Cricetulus griseus: one gene and its partner. The protein of the gene in region 2 interacts with the protein of the main gene of each other region in a pairwise test. Links are inferred from orthologs where the notes say so. Each region holds a gene or a part of one and is shown on either strand. Other genes may lie near its edges. The genes, in order: Maz and Bptf.

What was found.
Region 1: the proteins of Bptf (region 2) and Maz interact in a two-hybrid assay, tested with the Homo sapiens proteins (2 studies listed by BioGRID). The link is inferred for Cricetulus griseus from reciprocal best matches to the Homo sapiens genes BPTF and MAZ.

Annotation. Positions count from the first base shown.
Region 1 is NC_048596.1:73,725,557-73,733,211, reverse strand, and holds Maz (myc-associated zinc finger protein), read right to left. Parts: upstream 4,003-7,655; 5' UTR 3,870-4,002; coding exon 3,678-3,869; intron 3,605-3,677; coding exon 2,754-3,604; intron 2,379-2,753; coding exon 2,315-2,378; intron 2,050-2,314; coding exon 1,878-2,049; intron 1,125-1,877; coding exon 922-1,124; 3' UTR 900-921; intron 588-899; downstream 1-587. Other genes in the region: kinesin-like protein KIF22, read right to left, coding at 5,238-5,285, 5,415-5,474, 5,558-5,770, 6,470-6,525, 6,902-7,061. UniProt on the Homo sapiens protein: Transcriptional regulator, potentially with dual roles in transcription initiation and termination.
Region 2 is NC_048600.1:119,991,541-119,998,420, forward strand, and holds part of Bptf (nucleosome-remodeling factor subunit BPTF), read right to left. Parts: coding exon 6,805-6,880; intron 6,352-6,804; coding exon 5,495-6,351; intron 4,335-5,494; coding exon 4,252-4,334; intron 4,049-4,251; coding exon 3,823-4,048; intron 972-3,822; coding exon 628-971; intron 1-627. UniProt on the Homo sapiens protein: Regulatory subunit of the ATP-dependent NURF-1 and NURF-5 ISWI chromatin remodeling complexes, which form ordered nucleosome arrays on chromatin and facilitate access to DNA during DNA-templated processes such as DNA replication, transcription, and repair.

The DNA of each region.
Region 1 (7,655 bases), on a different chromosome or scaffold from region 2:
CTCCTCCCTCCCCCTGGGAAAAAACAACAACAAAAAAAGAAAGCACCAACTCCCCAGGAAGGGGCAGCAGACAGTAGGAGAGGGGACTGCAGGAGGAGAGCACAGGACCTTCTAGGGAAAGGCTCACAAATCCCTGGGAGGAAAGGCAAGGGGTTTAAAGGTTGAGGGCAGTGACTGCTGCTGTCCTCTGCCACCCCTGCTCACTGTCCAGGGGACTTCAACACAACTCAGGGGACAGGTGTTTGGAGGGTCAGCTCTGATAGGGAGAAGAAAGGAGCAGGAGAAACATTGTTAAACCTAGTGAATTCCTTCTTCCTCCTCTGTCTGGAGGCTCCTTGGTTGATGGTGAGCAGTGAGGAGTTGGTGAGAAGAGGAGACTGTACCAAGAAGAGCTTTCCTCTGCTCTTCCCCTCGCTCCCATCAACTTGGAGCTCACCAGGGCTGGGAGGGAAGTGGCTGAGAGCTCACTGGTACCCCCTCTGCCCCAGAGAGGGAGCCCACAGCTGTGGGAGGGGCTGCCACTGCTGCTGCTGCCGCTGCTGCTGCTGCTGCCGCCGCCGCCGCCATTGGACAAACCTCACCAGTACCTACAGTGAGAAACACCAAGGATCACAGCACAACCTGAATGGCAAGAAACATGCTCCATACCCTCAGATTTCCCAACTATTTCCCTACTTCCCCTGGGACACAGCCGTTACTTCCTATCTGGCCCCCAGAGACTCTGACCTGCCTGACTTACCCACACAGCAATTCTGTACTACCTTCTCTGGACCCCAAGTCTCCCTAATCTGAGTGACAAACTGGCATCCCTGGCCTTCCTGAGATCCCCTATTGGGCCCTTTGAAGTCCCTTGTCCCACACATCCCATCCTGCCCCCCCAGCCATGTCCCACGCCTTGCCTGGTGGGTGCAGGGGTCCCCCTCAGCAGGTAGGCTGTGGCTGGGGGGCATCTCCCGGGATAGGAGGGGCGGCCCCCCCCAGATGGGTCTGCATGTGGCCGGCCAGCTGGGCAGGGGTCTTGCAGTGCACGCTGCACAGCTTGCACAGGATGCGGTCAGCCCGCGGGGCCTGGAGCCCATGGTCCTTCACCGCGTGGATGCGCAGGTATGCTGCTGTGGTGAAGCCTATGGGGGGGGGTGGATTGGGATGGGGAGTGGGGGGTCAGCCTGGTGGAGACCCCAGAGACAGGGCTGTTCTCCTAGGCTGGGGACACCCTCCTCACATGGCACTGTCCTCCTCCCACCACATCCTTGGTAGGCTGGGGCCAACTACTCCACTGGGACATAGCCCTTCCCTGAGCTTGGGGCCTGGTTTGCATGGTACCTGTTTCTTAATCCTTAATACCTACAGAGATCTTCCCCCATAATTGGGAGATCTCTCCCAAATGACAGGACACTGTGGCCTAGCTTTTTGAAGGGTTGACTCTCAGTAGAGACGGCTGTGTCCCCCCCTCTCCAGTGCCCTGGTCTCAGATCGTATAGTGAATAACCACACTGAAAACAGCTTTTTGTTACTGGGCAGGGTGTGTGCTTGTTACACCCGTGCTGATGTTCTCGACTTGCCCCAGGAGCTGGAGACAAGAACTTGTGGCTGCAAAGTTGAAACCCTGGGGACTGGCTTTCTTGAGCCCACTTCATTTTCCCCAGGCACACCCAGGAGGTTGACTCTTTGGTGCACTGTCTCCTCTGGGCCATGGCATAGAATTTAGTGCTCAGTTACTTCCAATGCTGTTGTGCTTGCTTCTTAAAGGGCTCTCTCTACATGCCACGAGCTCTTGGCTACAGCACCCTTAACCCACATCCATGAAAACAACCAACAGCGTTGTGCCCACCTACTCCCACTTTGTCCCTGCCCTCCTGGCATCCCTTAGCATGTACCTTTGTTGCAGAGCTCACAGACATGGTGAGGGCCCTGGCTGTGCACCTTCATGTGGTCCGAAATATAAGCGGAGCTCAGCATCTTGCCACACACATGACATGGCACCTTCTCCTCGTGTCGTACTGTGTGCGCTCGGAGTCGATCCTTCGTAGCAAAAGCTGCCTCACATTTCTGGGGGGGAGGGCGTGGGGGGGTCACAGGAGAGTTAAAGCTTCGGGGAGTAGAGAGAAGGGGGCAAGATAAAGGGATCAGAGCCTTGGGGGTCTTTGATCTGTAGGAAATGGGCGTGAGATGACCAGGCCTTGAAGGAGAAATGCGAAAATGGAGTGAAAAGGCAAAAAGAGAGAGAAAAAGGGGGTCTGAGAGGTTGAACTCAGACAGCTACAGTGAGGATCAAAATCATGAAAACCAGGACAGGAGGCAGCGGGCTTCCTACCTCACATTTGAAGGGCCGCTCTGTTGAGTGCACTTGTCTGACGTGACTGTTGAGGTGATCCGGCCTAGGGATATGTTGAGGTGGGGGGGGGGTTAGGGCTAAGGCTCCAAGGTGAGATGCTTCTCAAATCTGCCTAGATTTCTCCAAAGTGCCTTTCCAAGAACCCCAGAATTTTCCCCTACATCTTTGGTCCTTAGACAGGAAATCGCTCAAAACAGGATTCTATCTCTGCCCAGAAGCGGCTTTCCTCCAGCCCAAAGACCCACCTCCTCTCAAGTACCACCCCCTGCTCCCAGTAACCACGAGGCTCACTTCCCTCCTCCCTGGGAGTGGTTCCTGTCCCCAGCATCGGGAGCCGCCTCCCCACCAGCCAAAGACAGGCCACCTTGTTGCCCTCCCCCCACCATCGGCCTAGTGGGCAGCCGAGGCCCCTGCACACCGGGAGAAGCTCTTGCCACAGTGGGAGCAGTTGTAGGGCTTGTGCACAGCGCCGTCATGTGAGCGCACGTGGTAACTCATGCGGTCCTTGCGCTTGAAGCGCTGCTGGCACACAGGGCACTGGTAGGGCTTCTCGTCCGAGTGCGACAGCTTATGTCGGTTCAGGTGGTAGACGTCGCGGAAGGCCTTGCCGCACATCTCGCAGGCGTGATTCTTCCGGATGCGCTTTCCAGAGGCGGTCGTGGTCACAACGCCACCGGGCGCCACTGCGGCTGTGCCTCCGCCAGCCCCGGCTTCTCCCCCTCCCCCGCTGGCCCCGCTCAGCTGGGGCACGCTCAAGAGGCTCAGGGGCACCATGGTGGGCATCTTCATAGCACCCGAAGGGACCCGGCCAGCCTTGGCTCCTGTGTGGATGGCTTCGTGCCTCCGGAGATTGTAGCCGTTCTTGAACTCCTTGGCGCACAGGGCGCAAATGTAGGGCCCCTTGCTCTTTGTCTTCTTCTCCAAGACAGATGCAACAGGGGCCACAGCGACTGTAGAGGTTGGGGCGACGACAGCGGTGGCTGCCGCTGCGGCGATGGTGGCGGCCGCGGCGGGGGGCGCGGCTTCGGCGGCTGGTGCGGATACGGCAGGGGGTGGCGGAGGAGGCGCCGGAGGCTGCTTCAGGGCCGCTGTGTCCACTGTGGAGGCGGCAGCAGGGGCTGGGGGTGCAGTAACCACTGCAGCGGCAGCAGCTGCCGCGGCCGCAGCCGCCGCGGCCGATTCCTGCGCGGCGGCGAGGACCGGGAGCAAGTCCACTTGGAGGGGCTCGGCCGCCGGGGCCTGGGGCGTGGGTGGGGGCGCCGGTGCGGCCTGCAGAGACAAGGCGCCGTGTGGGCCGCGGTCGCTGGTCGGCGCCTGCCCGCCCGGCCCGGCCCCTACTCACCTGGAATGGACTCTGGGCGCAGCCCTGGGAGGCAAAGAAGCGGGACTGGAGCTCAGCCCCGACCTGCAGGGGGTTCTGGGCGTGACCCTGAGGTGGCGGGAAGGAGTTCATGAGGCCGCCCACCCCCCGGGAGTCCAGGCCCAGCACGGGGAAGGGGGGGGCCAGCAGCGTGCAAGGGAACACGGGGAACATGGCCTCGGCCACAGTGGGGCCCCCGGAGCTCAGCGGGAGCCGGGGGCACGGGCCGCGCGGGGCCCGGGCTCGGGGCGCCGCCCCGGCCGGCCGGGTTGGGCCGAGCCGAATGCATGGCCCGAGGGCCGCCCGCCCGCCGCGCACCCCGGCCGGCGGGAGGGAGGGAAGGAGGGCGTCTTGTGGGGCGCGGAGCGCGGCGGCGGCGGCGACGCCCCTGGGTGGGGGCGAGAGGCCCGCGGGGCGAGGGCCGGGCCGGGGGCGGGGGCCCGGGCGGCGCGCGGCGGCGGCGGGTGGCGGCAGTTGGAGCCTGGCGGGGCGGGGTGGGGGGAGCGAGGGAGCAGCTTCGGCCCCCGCCGCGCGCGCGCGCCCAGCCGGCGCCTCGGGAGGGCGGGGAGGGCGGAGAGGGAGGGGGGACAGCTGCGCGCGCACCGGGCGCGCGGAGGGGGGGTGGGACGGGAGGGAGGGCGGGCGGGAGGGGTGTGGGAGGGGGGGCAGGGGCGGGGGGGGCGGGGGTTGTTACCTGGAAGATGAAGCTGCTCCAGTTGCTGGATCCATGGCGGAGGGAGGAGGGAGGTGGCTCGCGCTCACCCCGGGGCGGGAGAGCGGCGGTGGGGGAGGGGGGCCTGGGGGAGGCGCGCAGGGAGGGAGGGGGAAGAGGGTGGGGGAGCGGAGCACACTGCGCGCCGGAGGGCGGGCGGGGGGCGCGAGGACACACAAGAGGCTGGAGCGGGCGCGAGCGCGAGTGCGCGCGGGGCCAGCGGGAGGGGGGAGGCTCGGGAGGGACTCTGGAGGGAGGAGGGACGGGGGAGCCACCCAGCAGCCCGAGTCGCCCCGAGCGCGAGACCCTCGAGACAGCTGCTGATTGGCTGGCGGTGGTGCAGGTGGTGGGCGCGCGGGAGACTAGGCGGCTTCTCTTCCCCCACTTCAACGATTCCACCCCCCACTTCCCTCTGCCAGCAGCCGTTATTTCACGCGCACGCGCACACAACAGCGGCGTCGTCCAGAACAGCGTGGGGAGCGCGCAGAGAGAGTTACAGTGGGGCGGGGCTAAACTAGAAGCGCGTGCCCGCCTAACGGTCGTTGTTCTTAAGCTTTCCGCTTCGGCTTTTTGATTCGCCTAGGCCACCGTCCCCTTCCCATCCCAGTGGTTTATTTACAATCTTGGACTAGTTCGGGGTTTCCCAAAGATGGCGCCCAGCTAAGTGCCCCGCAGAGCGCTCGATCCTGATCCCAAGGGCAATTGTGGCTCCCACCCTAGCCCCGCCATCCTAAAAAAACAGGCTCAAGCATGGGATAAAAACTGTATTTACACAAACACGTCATTATACAAGGATTTTAAAAGAAAAAGGTAGTGTTAAGAGCTGGTAGTCAGGAGGGAGCGGAGTGCTGGTCCGCAGCCAAGCTCAAGAGGTTCGCCTGTAAGGAAGAGTAAAGCGCGTCAGTGTAGCAGCCGGGTGTGGTGTGGGGTCGGGTGGCAGTGGAAGGGGTGGGTGGGGTTGGGGCACAACATGTAGGCTGGCGGAGAAAGGGCAGAGGCGTTCCTACCTTCAGGAAAGACTCCACCTGCTTTCCAGAGATGCCTTCCACCTGTTCCAAGTCCTCCACCTAGAGAACAGCGGCAGTCGGAAGGATGTGGACAGAGAACCTGACTGGGCACCCCGCCCCACCTGCCTTCTCTAGGTTGTTACCTTGCTGAAGGGGCCGTGGAGCTCCCTCCAGCCCATGATGAGTTGGGCCTTCTTCTGGCCAATGCGTTGCAGGCTGCGCAGATCCCGAGCTGAGCCTTCATTCAGCAGATCCAATAATCTTTTGCGCCCATGTGCCAGTAACTCTGGGCTAATCTGTAGCTCCCAGCAGTCCTCAGCCTTTTCCACAGGCTCGGACACATCGGATGGCTCCGGCTATGAGGTAACAGGAATAATAGATAGCAAAGGCCTGTGGATGACTGCCAAGACCTTACCTTCTCCCTCCCCACTCTGGCACTAATTTTGTTGGATTTGTATAATTACTAGCATTTTTCTCAGTTGCCGTGAAGATTCGATGAATAAATGAACATACACATCGTCTGACTAGGAGTTTATAGTTCGTTGTAGAGCACTTAGGTACGCTTGAGGACTGGGGTCTCAATCTCCAGTACAGGAGAAAGAAAAAACAGTAAGCACCCTACCTCATCCTGACAGTTTGGGACAGTTCTCCTAGTGTTCAGTTTATGTGAATACCTGTGTGAGAGGTTCTTAAATACCCGTCATTTCCCTAAATGGTCTCTACAATTTATAGAGGCAGGAGCTAGGCTATACACTAAGTCCAGCCAGTATCCAATCTTAAGTGCAAGAAGCATCACAAAGAAAGGAAACTGACCGCTGGGCGTTGGTGGCACACACCTTTGATCCCAGTTCGAGACCAGCCTGATCTACAAGAGCTAGTTCCAGGACAGCCTCCAAAGCCACAGAGAAACCCTGTCTCAAAAAATAAAAATAAAAAAGAAACTGACAAATGGTGGATACCTACTCCACTAAATACACCCAACATTTCATCCAAGTCTTTAAAGCGTCACCATATGCAAGAGATTCCCAATGGAAACCAGGGTGAGGTCAGCTCACCTTTCTTTTGTGGCCTCTCTTCAGGATATGGATCTTCGACTCTGTCTGCTTCTGAACTGAAAGCAGGAATCAGGAACCGGTTAGGGCACAGGCAACCAACCTCCTTCCCACCCTACCTCCCTGGTAGCCATTTGCTTCTCATATTTCTCCAACCTGAGCTTTTGTTGTTTCCAAATGACTTTTTTCTTTCCTTTTTTTTTTGAGACAGGGTCTCACTCTATAACCAAGGCTAACCTGGAATTTAGAGCAATCCTTCTGCTCCCCTCTCCTGAGTGTTGGGGGTTACAGGTGGGTGCCACCATATTCAGCCAATACCCTTGTATGACAAGCATGCAGGGCTTGTTCAGATCCAGTGGGAGGGTATGAGTGACAAGAGGATAGCTGCTCTTTACATCTTTTCATTTCTGACATAGACTCTGGAACCAAACTTACTCAGTTGCAGGGGCATCACCACAGCCTTTTTCAGAGGCTTTGCCACTGTGCCTGTACAAGAGGGAAGGGGCTGGAGACACGTGTTCTCTTTCTCCTTTGGATCCAGTGCCTCTTGGGCCAGCACCTTGGCCTCTAGTTCTTTTTGCTTCATCTTAAGCCTCTGTTGGAAAGGATCATGGGAAGATGTGATTCAGCTCCAGCCCCAAAGCAGTGGATTAGGAAGGTGAGGCAGGCAGAGCTCTGAGGTCCAAGAGGATGGAAGTGGGGCCAGTAGGAGATATTCAATGAGGAGACAGTTCAAAATAACTAAGGACATCCTAATGATCAGAGGGCTACCTAAAGACAGAATTAAGTCTTCAAGCAGGTAGGTTTTATGAAATGGATTTTTTTTTTTTTTTTGACAATGTCTCACTATATAGCCACACATAGACCATGCCAACCTCAAACTCACAAAGAGCTGCCTGCCTCTAGGCAGGTTATATATTTTTCTGTGTGTGGGTGTTTTTCCTGCAGGTATATCTGTGTACTATGTGTGTGCCTGGTGCAGAAGATAGGGTTGGATTCCTTGGAACTGGAGTCATAGGCCATCATGAGGTACCATGTGGTTGCGAGGAATTGAGCCAATATTCTTTTAGTTATATTTTTTAGTTTTTTGAGACAGTGTTTCTCTGTGTACCTTTGGAGCCTATCCTGGCACTCGCTCTGTAGACTAGGCTCGCCTTGAACTCATACAGATCCACCTGCCTCTGCCTCC
Region 2 (6,880 bases):
ACTGTAAAATACTGGTCTATATTAGCATGTTCAACAGAAGTTAAACAGTGAATAATAACTGAAAAAAAAAAACAAAAACAAAAACAGGAACAAGAAAGTATATTTATGGACTAGTATCTCTAAAATCTCATTTATGTTACCAAATATAAGTCAAGACTGTCAAAAACAGCTTCCAAATACTGTGCCCATCAATTTTTGAATGTCAAACTCACAAAGTGCGGTAAAGGAGCACTATGCACTTTTTTTTTTTTTTTTTTTTGCTTTTGTTTCCAATAAGATAGTGGAACCTTAGACAAAAATATTTTTTAAAAAAGGGAACTGATGTGACACCTCTGTGCCATCCATTTTGGAATGGACTCTGGGCTGCAAGACACAGTGCTGGCAGATTGATTAGGAGCAAGTCCACAAAGCGCTTTGGGAAAGCAAAGAGGCCACAGCAAGCTTGTTTTTGACAGAAAAGGACATTGCTGAGGACAAGCAAGACCCATGAGCGTGTGGAACAGCCCCCTTACTGCACTGTGTCAGGCCAAGTATCAGATGCAAGATGAAGCCCAGCCTCACACTGGCTCGCCCTCACCCGTGCTGCCAACTGCTCACTCAACAGCGAAGCTGGGGACAGGCACTTACTTGGACTCGTCGTAGGGCGTCTTGCAGATACAGTACAGCCGGGTGTCTTTCTTGGCCTCCTTGGAGGTCGTGGAGATCATCTTCTTTTTCTTGGATTTGGAGTCCTTCTCCTCCTCCCGCTTCCTCTTCTGGGAAGCGACAGGCAGTGGGGTTGTGGGGTGGCCCGCAGATGGCACACTGTGTGCCAAGGGAGGTGAAGGAGGAGGTGGGGCTGGAGAGGCTGCTGCTGGTGGGGCTGGAACTGGCGCTGGCACTGAGGGTGTGGACACTGCAGCAGCACTGACCTGTACCAACTGTGCCATGTCTCTCTCTCTCTTCATTTTCAGGTCTCTCTTCAGCTCTTCCTGTGGTCAAGTGAAGACAGACAGACGATCACCAGGGTTATGGGAAGGAGCAACCTGGGCAGGACCTGGACATTATCCCCACCTGGCAAATATCACCCACAGTCCCCCCACCCCTGCCCCACACACCATTCTTTTTGTTTTTTTGTTTCTCTGTATAGCCCTGGCTGTCCTGAAACTTGATCTGCAGACCAGGCTGGCCTAGAACTCAGAGAGATCCACCTGCCTCTGCCTCCTGAGTGCTGGGAAAAACCGTGTATCACACTCATTCAAGCAGCTCCTGTTAGGAGTCTGCACAGGAACCAAACACAAGACTCAAAGCAAGGCCTGGAGGGAGTAAGAGAAAGACTGTCCTTGTTTACCATGCTTTGCTTGGATTTAAGATAGTAGACCTAGGCAACAAAATACACAATGTTCTAACTGGGTGCATAGCCCGAGCTATGACAGAGAAGCAAGAAGATTACAAATTAAAGGTTGTCCTTTGCAACACTGTTGAGCTTGAGACTCATCTGGCCTACGTGAGACCTTGTCTCAAAACAAAACAAACAAACACCTCCCAAAACAACACTAGTTTCTCTAAACATGCTTAGCCAAAAATGAGTACCCTGAGCCCGTGAGATGGTTCAGTGGGTAAAAGTGCTTGTCACATTTCTACAGAGATGATGAGAGGCTGGGATGGGACCCCCCCACACACACACACACACTGACCTTAGGGCTCAACTAAACTGGGACACTTTTTTTGTTTTGTTTTTCAAGACAAGGTTTCTCTGTGGCTTTGGAGGCTGTCCTGGAACTAGCTCTTGTAGACCAGGCTGGTCTCAAACTCACAGAGATCCGCCTGCCTCTGCCTCCAGAGTGCTGGGATTAAAGGTGTGTGCCACCACTGTAAAGCTTGTAACACTCTTTTAAAATGCTAATCCACCCTGTCTCAAAAAAATCCCAACACATGTGGCTGGAGGGATGGCTCAGAGGTTAAGAGCACTGACTGCTCTTCCAGAGGTCCTGAGTTCAATTCCCAGCAACTACATGGTGGCTCACAACCATCGTTATGAGATCTGGTGCCTTCTTCTGATACATGGAAGCACAATGTTGCACATATAATAAATAAATAAATAAATAAATAAATAAATAAAATCTTAAAAAAAAAAAAAATCCCAATACACCAACTGCAGCTGAAAAAGGGCTGTAACAACTGCCTGTTGCTCTTCAAGACATGCAGAGTTTCCAGCAGATGAGCAACAGTGGCTGCAATAAGGCTAACTGGATGGAACCCTGGCACCTATAGGAAGGAGTCCTACACATTCTAAAGGAGAGCCTGCCCTGGACTTGGGGTACAGGTCATCATCCCAGCATTCATGAGGCTGAAGCAGGAGGCCCAGGAGTTTGAAGCCAGTCCTGGGCTAAAGATCCTGTTGGAAGCAAATCAAAGGCAGAGGCTTTATATAGATGTTTATAGAAAGAGAAAATGAGCACTTGGGAGGCAGAGGCTGGCGGATCTCTGTGATTTTGAGGCCAGCCTATTCTACAGAGCGAGTTCTAGGACAGGCTCCAAAGCAATACAGAGAAACCCTGTCTCAAAAAACAAACAAACAAACAAACAAAAGAGAAAATGAAATAGAGAATAAAACAACTATAAGAATTGCTTCCCAAGATTTCAAAAATGGCAACAATATTTTCTTAGTATTTTGTTTTCTGTTTTACATTTAAAATTTTATGTTTTTCATATTTATTTATTTATTTATTTATTTATTTATTTATTTATTTATTTATTTATGAGGCATGGTCTCACTATGTAGCTCTGGCTGTCCTGCAATTCACTTAGACCAGGATGGCCTTGAATGCCTCCCAATGGTAGGATTAGAGGTATGAACCACCAAGACAGGCCTGGAATAGTCACTTTAATGTCACGTGCAAGGCTGTAACTTATAGGTTTGATGCTCTGTGAATAGCTAGCTCTCTTAACCTGCACTGTATCACAGCACCAAGTATGGAGTTGTATTTTAAGTTTTCTGATTCTACTGTGAATGGACTCTCTTTCCCGGGATACTGGGACAACAGTTGTACTCAGTGTTAATACTAATGCTGGCAACCTTAATTCTGTTAAAATTTTATTATGGTTTCCCTGGGGATGTAATGTAATAATTACACCACACACAAAAAGAATTCTGTCTTCTTTCTTGAAGTTTGTGCTTCCTTCTTTCATCTTCCTCCAGTGAATAACCTGATTGCTGGCTCTGTCTGGTTTGTCTTCTGTGGGACCTCCAGTCTTTCAGGTTATGTAAGGTCGTTTGTTGGTTTGATGGGTATTTTAGTAAAATGTACAAAATCCCTTATTTGATGCTGTCAACAGCCTGCTTCTTTGTCAGAAAGCTCTGTAAATATTCATGAATGGATTAATAGTGCCTACAGTATCACTTTCAGGGTAGGAAAAATTGCACAAATGTGTTTTCCCATGTTCACATTACTCTGCATTCTTCTGAAATGTGTTCTGGATGAACGATGACACAGACAATAAAAGCACACCACATCCAACATAGCTAAAACAACTCAGCCCATGCTGGGCGGTGGTGGTGCACGCCTTTAATCCCAGCGCCCAAGAGGCAGAAGCAAGTGGATCTCAGTGAATTCGGGCCAGCCTGGTCTACAGAATGAGTTCCAGGAGAGACAGGGATATACAGAGAAGCCCTGTCTAGGAAAAACAAAAGACGAAACAAACAAGAAACCCAAAAAAGCTCAACCCTCTTGGATTGGAGGAAGATAAACTTCCATGCTACAAACACACAAATGTAAATTCTAGAACAGGAGCTGGCATTTTGGCAGGTGTGTCCAGCGCCTGTGGGGCGCTCGCTCCTACCTGCACCTGGATCTGCAGCTCCTTGTCCAGGAGGGCCCTCTTTTTCAGGATCTCGGCTTTGAGCTGCTCCTTGTGTTTGAAGAGCAGAGCAGAGAGCTTGCTGGCATTCTGCTTGCTCCGCTTCTGCTCCACACTCTCTTCGCGTTTGCGTTTCTTTGCCGCCTGTTTTTCTTCTTTATCTATCTTATCCAGAATGTACTTCATCACCTGGTTACACACAATCATTCTAGAGGAAAACACACAACCTCTGTAACACTGGCTGTTCCACCCTGAGAGGTAAGGCACCATTTGTCTACATCCCTAGATGATGTACAAACGCACTGCAGAGTTTCAAGGAGCATCTATGGCCGCTCCTGGCATTAAACTTGGGTAAGACCAAAGCCAAATCAAACTGTGCAGATTCTCAGGTGGGCCTGTGTCTCTCCCTACCTTTGATTTTCTTCTCTTTCAGCTGGAGTCATGGTCTTTTTCTGTTTTAAATGTTCTATTACAGCATTATGCTTCATCACCACCTTGAGAACAGAACAAATGCATAAATGCACACTTTATAACAGACACAAGTTCAGCTAGCACACAGGTAGAAGTAACAACACACGCCGATTTTACAACTAGTAAGAATTGTGTAACTAATACAGATAAAAAGACAGCTGCTAGGTGGTCCCAGGGTCTTACCGTGCACCAAGTACTGAATTAAGCTAAGCACTTGACATTGTTTATTCTCCATGGTAAGACTGAGATGTAGGGATACTTTTTTTGTTCTCAAACACTGAGACACAAAGCAATCAACCAACTTGTTTGAGATTAAATAGTAACACAGCCCAAAACTTTCACCCAACTCTCATGCTCCAAAGGGCTTCACCAACTGTAGCCACCAGGTTGAAGAGTACCCTGCCCCTTACAAAGATCTGGAAGACAGGTCCTGGAGTAACACTCAGTTTACACATGAAACAATACAAGAGCTGGGATTTGAGTATGTCACAGAGGACTTACGTTCATAAAAATAACACCTTATACCTTCACAACCACATACATGATGGGATTTAATCATAACACTCCCATGTGGTTGCAGAGAGACAAGTTTAATGCGGACACAGCTCAGGGAGAAAACAGTGCTTCAGAGCTTGCTAAGACTTGGAACCTCTTGCCTAGTGCTGAGGGGGGCACGTGGCTGATGCCAGAGTGTCCTCGGGAAGACTGCAGGTCACCAGCTTCGTTCTGGCAGAGCTCTGGCTGTCTACAGTGACTCCCTCACCCACATACTAGTCCAAGACGCCCCTGCTGCACACCACCGCCTTCCACGGACGCTACGGACACACATCTGGGTTTAAGACATTTTTACAAAGGTGTGGCAAGCGATGCAAATGAATTCAGTCTGCCCACAATTTGCTTAGTCGATAGGCAAATGAAGGAATGACACTTGCAAATCAGATGACTTCAACTGAATCACTCCATTTTGATGGTGGCCTCACCACTTGGTTTCCTACCAGGGAAAGGCTACATGCCCATTAAGGAGTCCCAAACCAAAATGGGCAAGCAGTGTTCTGGTCTTCTGAGGCTATCCACCAGTGACCATGTCTCAGTCAGGAAGCCTACCACAACCAAAGCACTAAGTGTACCACACAGCACAGTAATTCACACTACCCAACATGCTGCTTTGACTTAATGTCGTTACCTGTTTCTGAATGACTTCCCTCTGGGCAGAAGCTTGGAGGGTGTGTTCACGCTCAATCTCTATCTGCTGCTTCTTCTTTTGCTGCTGCTCCCTGAGATGCTGAACCCTCTGCAACTGCTCTTGCAAACTGGCTGCCTGCACTGTGACCACACTCTGAACATGCTGAGTCTGCACAGCACTGCTTTGCTGAACTTGAATGGGTAACTGAAGTTTGATTTGCTGGGGCACACCACCTTGCTGAGCCTGTATCTGAGCCACAACCTGTGACTGGATCTGAGAGAGAACCTGGACTTGCTGGAGCTCAGGCACAGCAATGACTTGGGGCTGCAGCTGCTGTGTTTGTAGCTGAGGACAGCATGGGGATGAGACAGTAACTTGACTTAATGTTTGTCCTGGAGAAAGAGTTTGAGTTGAAGACTGTACCTGGGGCTGTGACTGTGGCTGGCCTTGGGAAGGTGTCTGCAGAGATGTGGGGGGCGGGATTGGAATCGGCTGTGAGCTTGTAGTCTGAACCTGGGGTTGCTGTCCAGGAGTCACTTGGGATGGAGTTGATGGACGTATTCGAGTCAATGATGGGCTCTGGGCACGAACAGGAGACTGTCCTTGGACATTGCTCTGAGGCTGACACTGTTGCTGGGGTTTAGATGACTGTGTCTGGGAGGGCTGTGCTTCAGAAGGGGTTTGGGACGAGACTTCAGGCTGAGCTGGGGACTGGGGCTGGGGCTGTGCTGCAGGCTGAGGAGTCTGTGGCTGGGCTTCTGCAGGACTCACACTTGATGACTGAGCTGGCGCCAGGGTAGTGGCTGGTTGGACCTGGGTCTGAGGTGACGATTTACTCTGTTTTTGTTCCCCCGAACCTGTAAAGAAAAAAAGACAAAGTGATTTCCCTGGCTTTAGTATGCAAGACTATGAGGGTATTTCCTGAAGCCTCGGGTTCGAGGAGGACTCAGAGTAGCCATCTCCTAGGCTGGGGAGCTGGGATGCTTCCTGCATGCTTCCTGTATGTCACCTAGGTGTTCTGAGGCACTCAAGCTTCACGCTTCGGCTATGGCATGGCAACAGGCACTGATGGCTTACAGGAGGCTGGTTATGAGCTGTGTGGACTCACCCTCCTTAAGCTCACCTCCAGGGCTTCACCAGGATTTTGTTTTGTTTTAATCAGGAAAGGGGGGTACAGGGAGTCTAGGAACAAGGCATGGAAACACAGAGGCTGGCTGTGTCAGCAGTTCAGCTGTTAAGCAGGCTGGAGGTGGAACATTGGGCCCTGCTACTCGAGAGGCCAGCAACGAGTGGCAAGACAGTGTTTCTACCTGCTGCTGTAGAAGCAGTGGCGGGGCTGCTGCTGCTGGTTGTGGCCGTCGTTGACAGTGGGGTAAAGAGGAACCG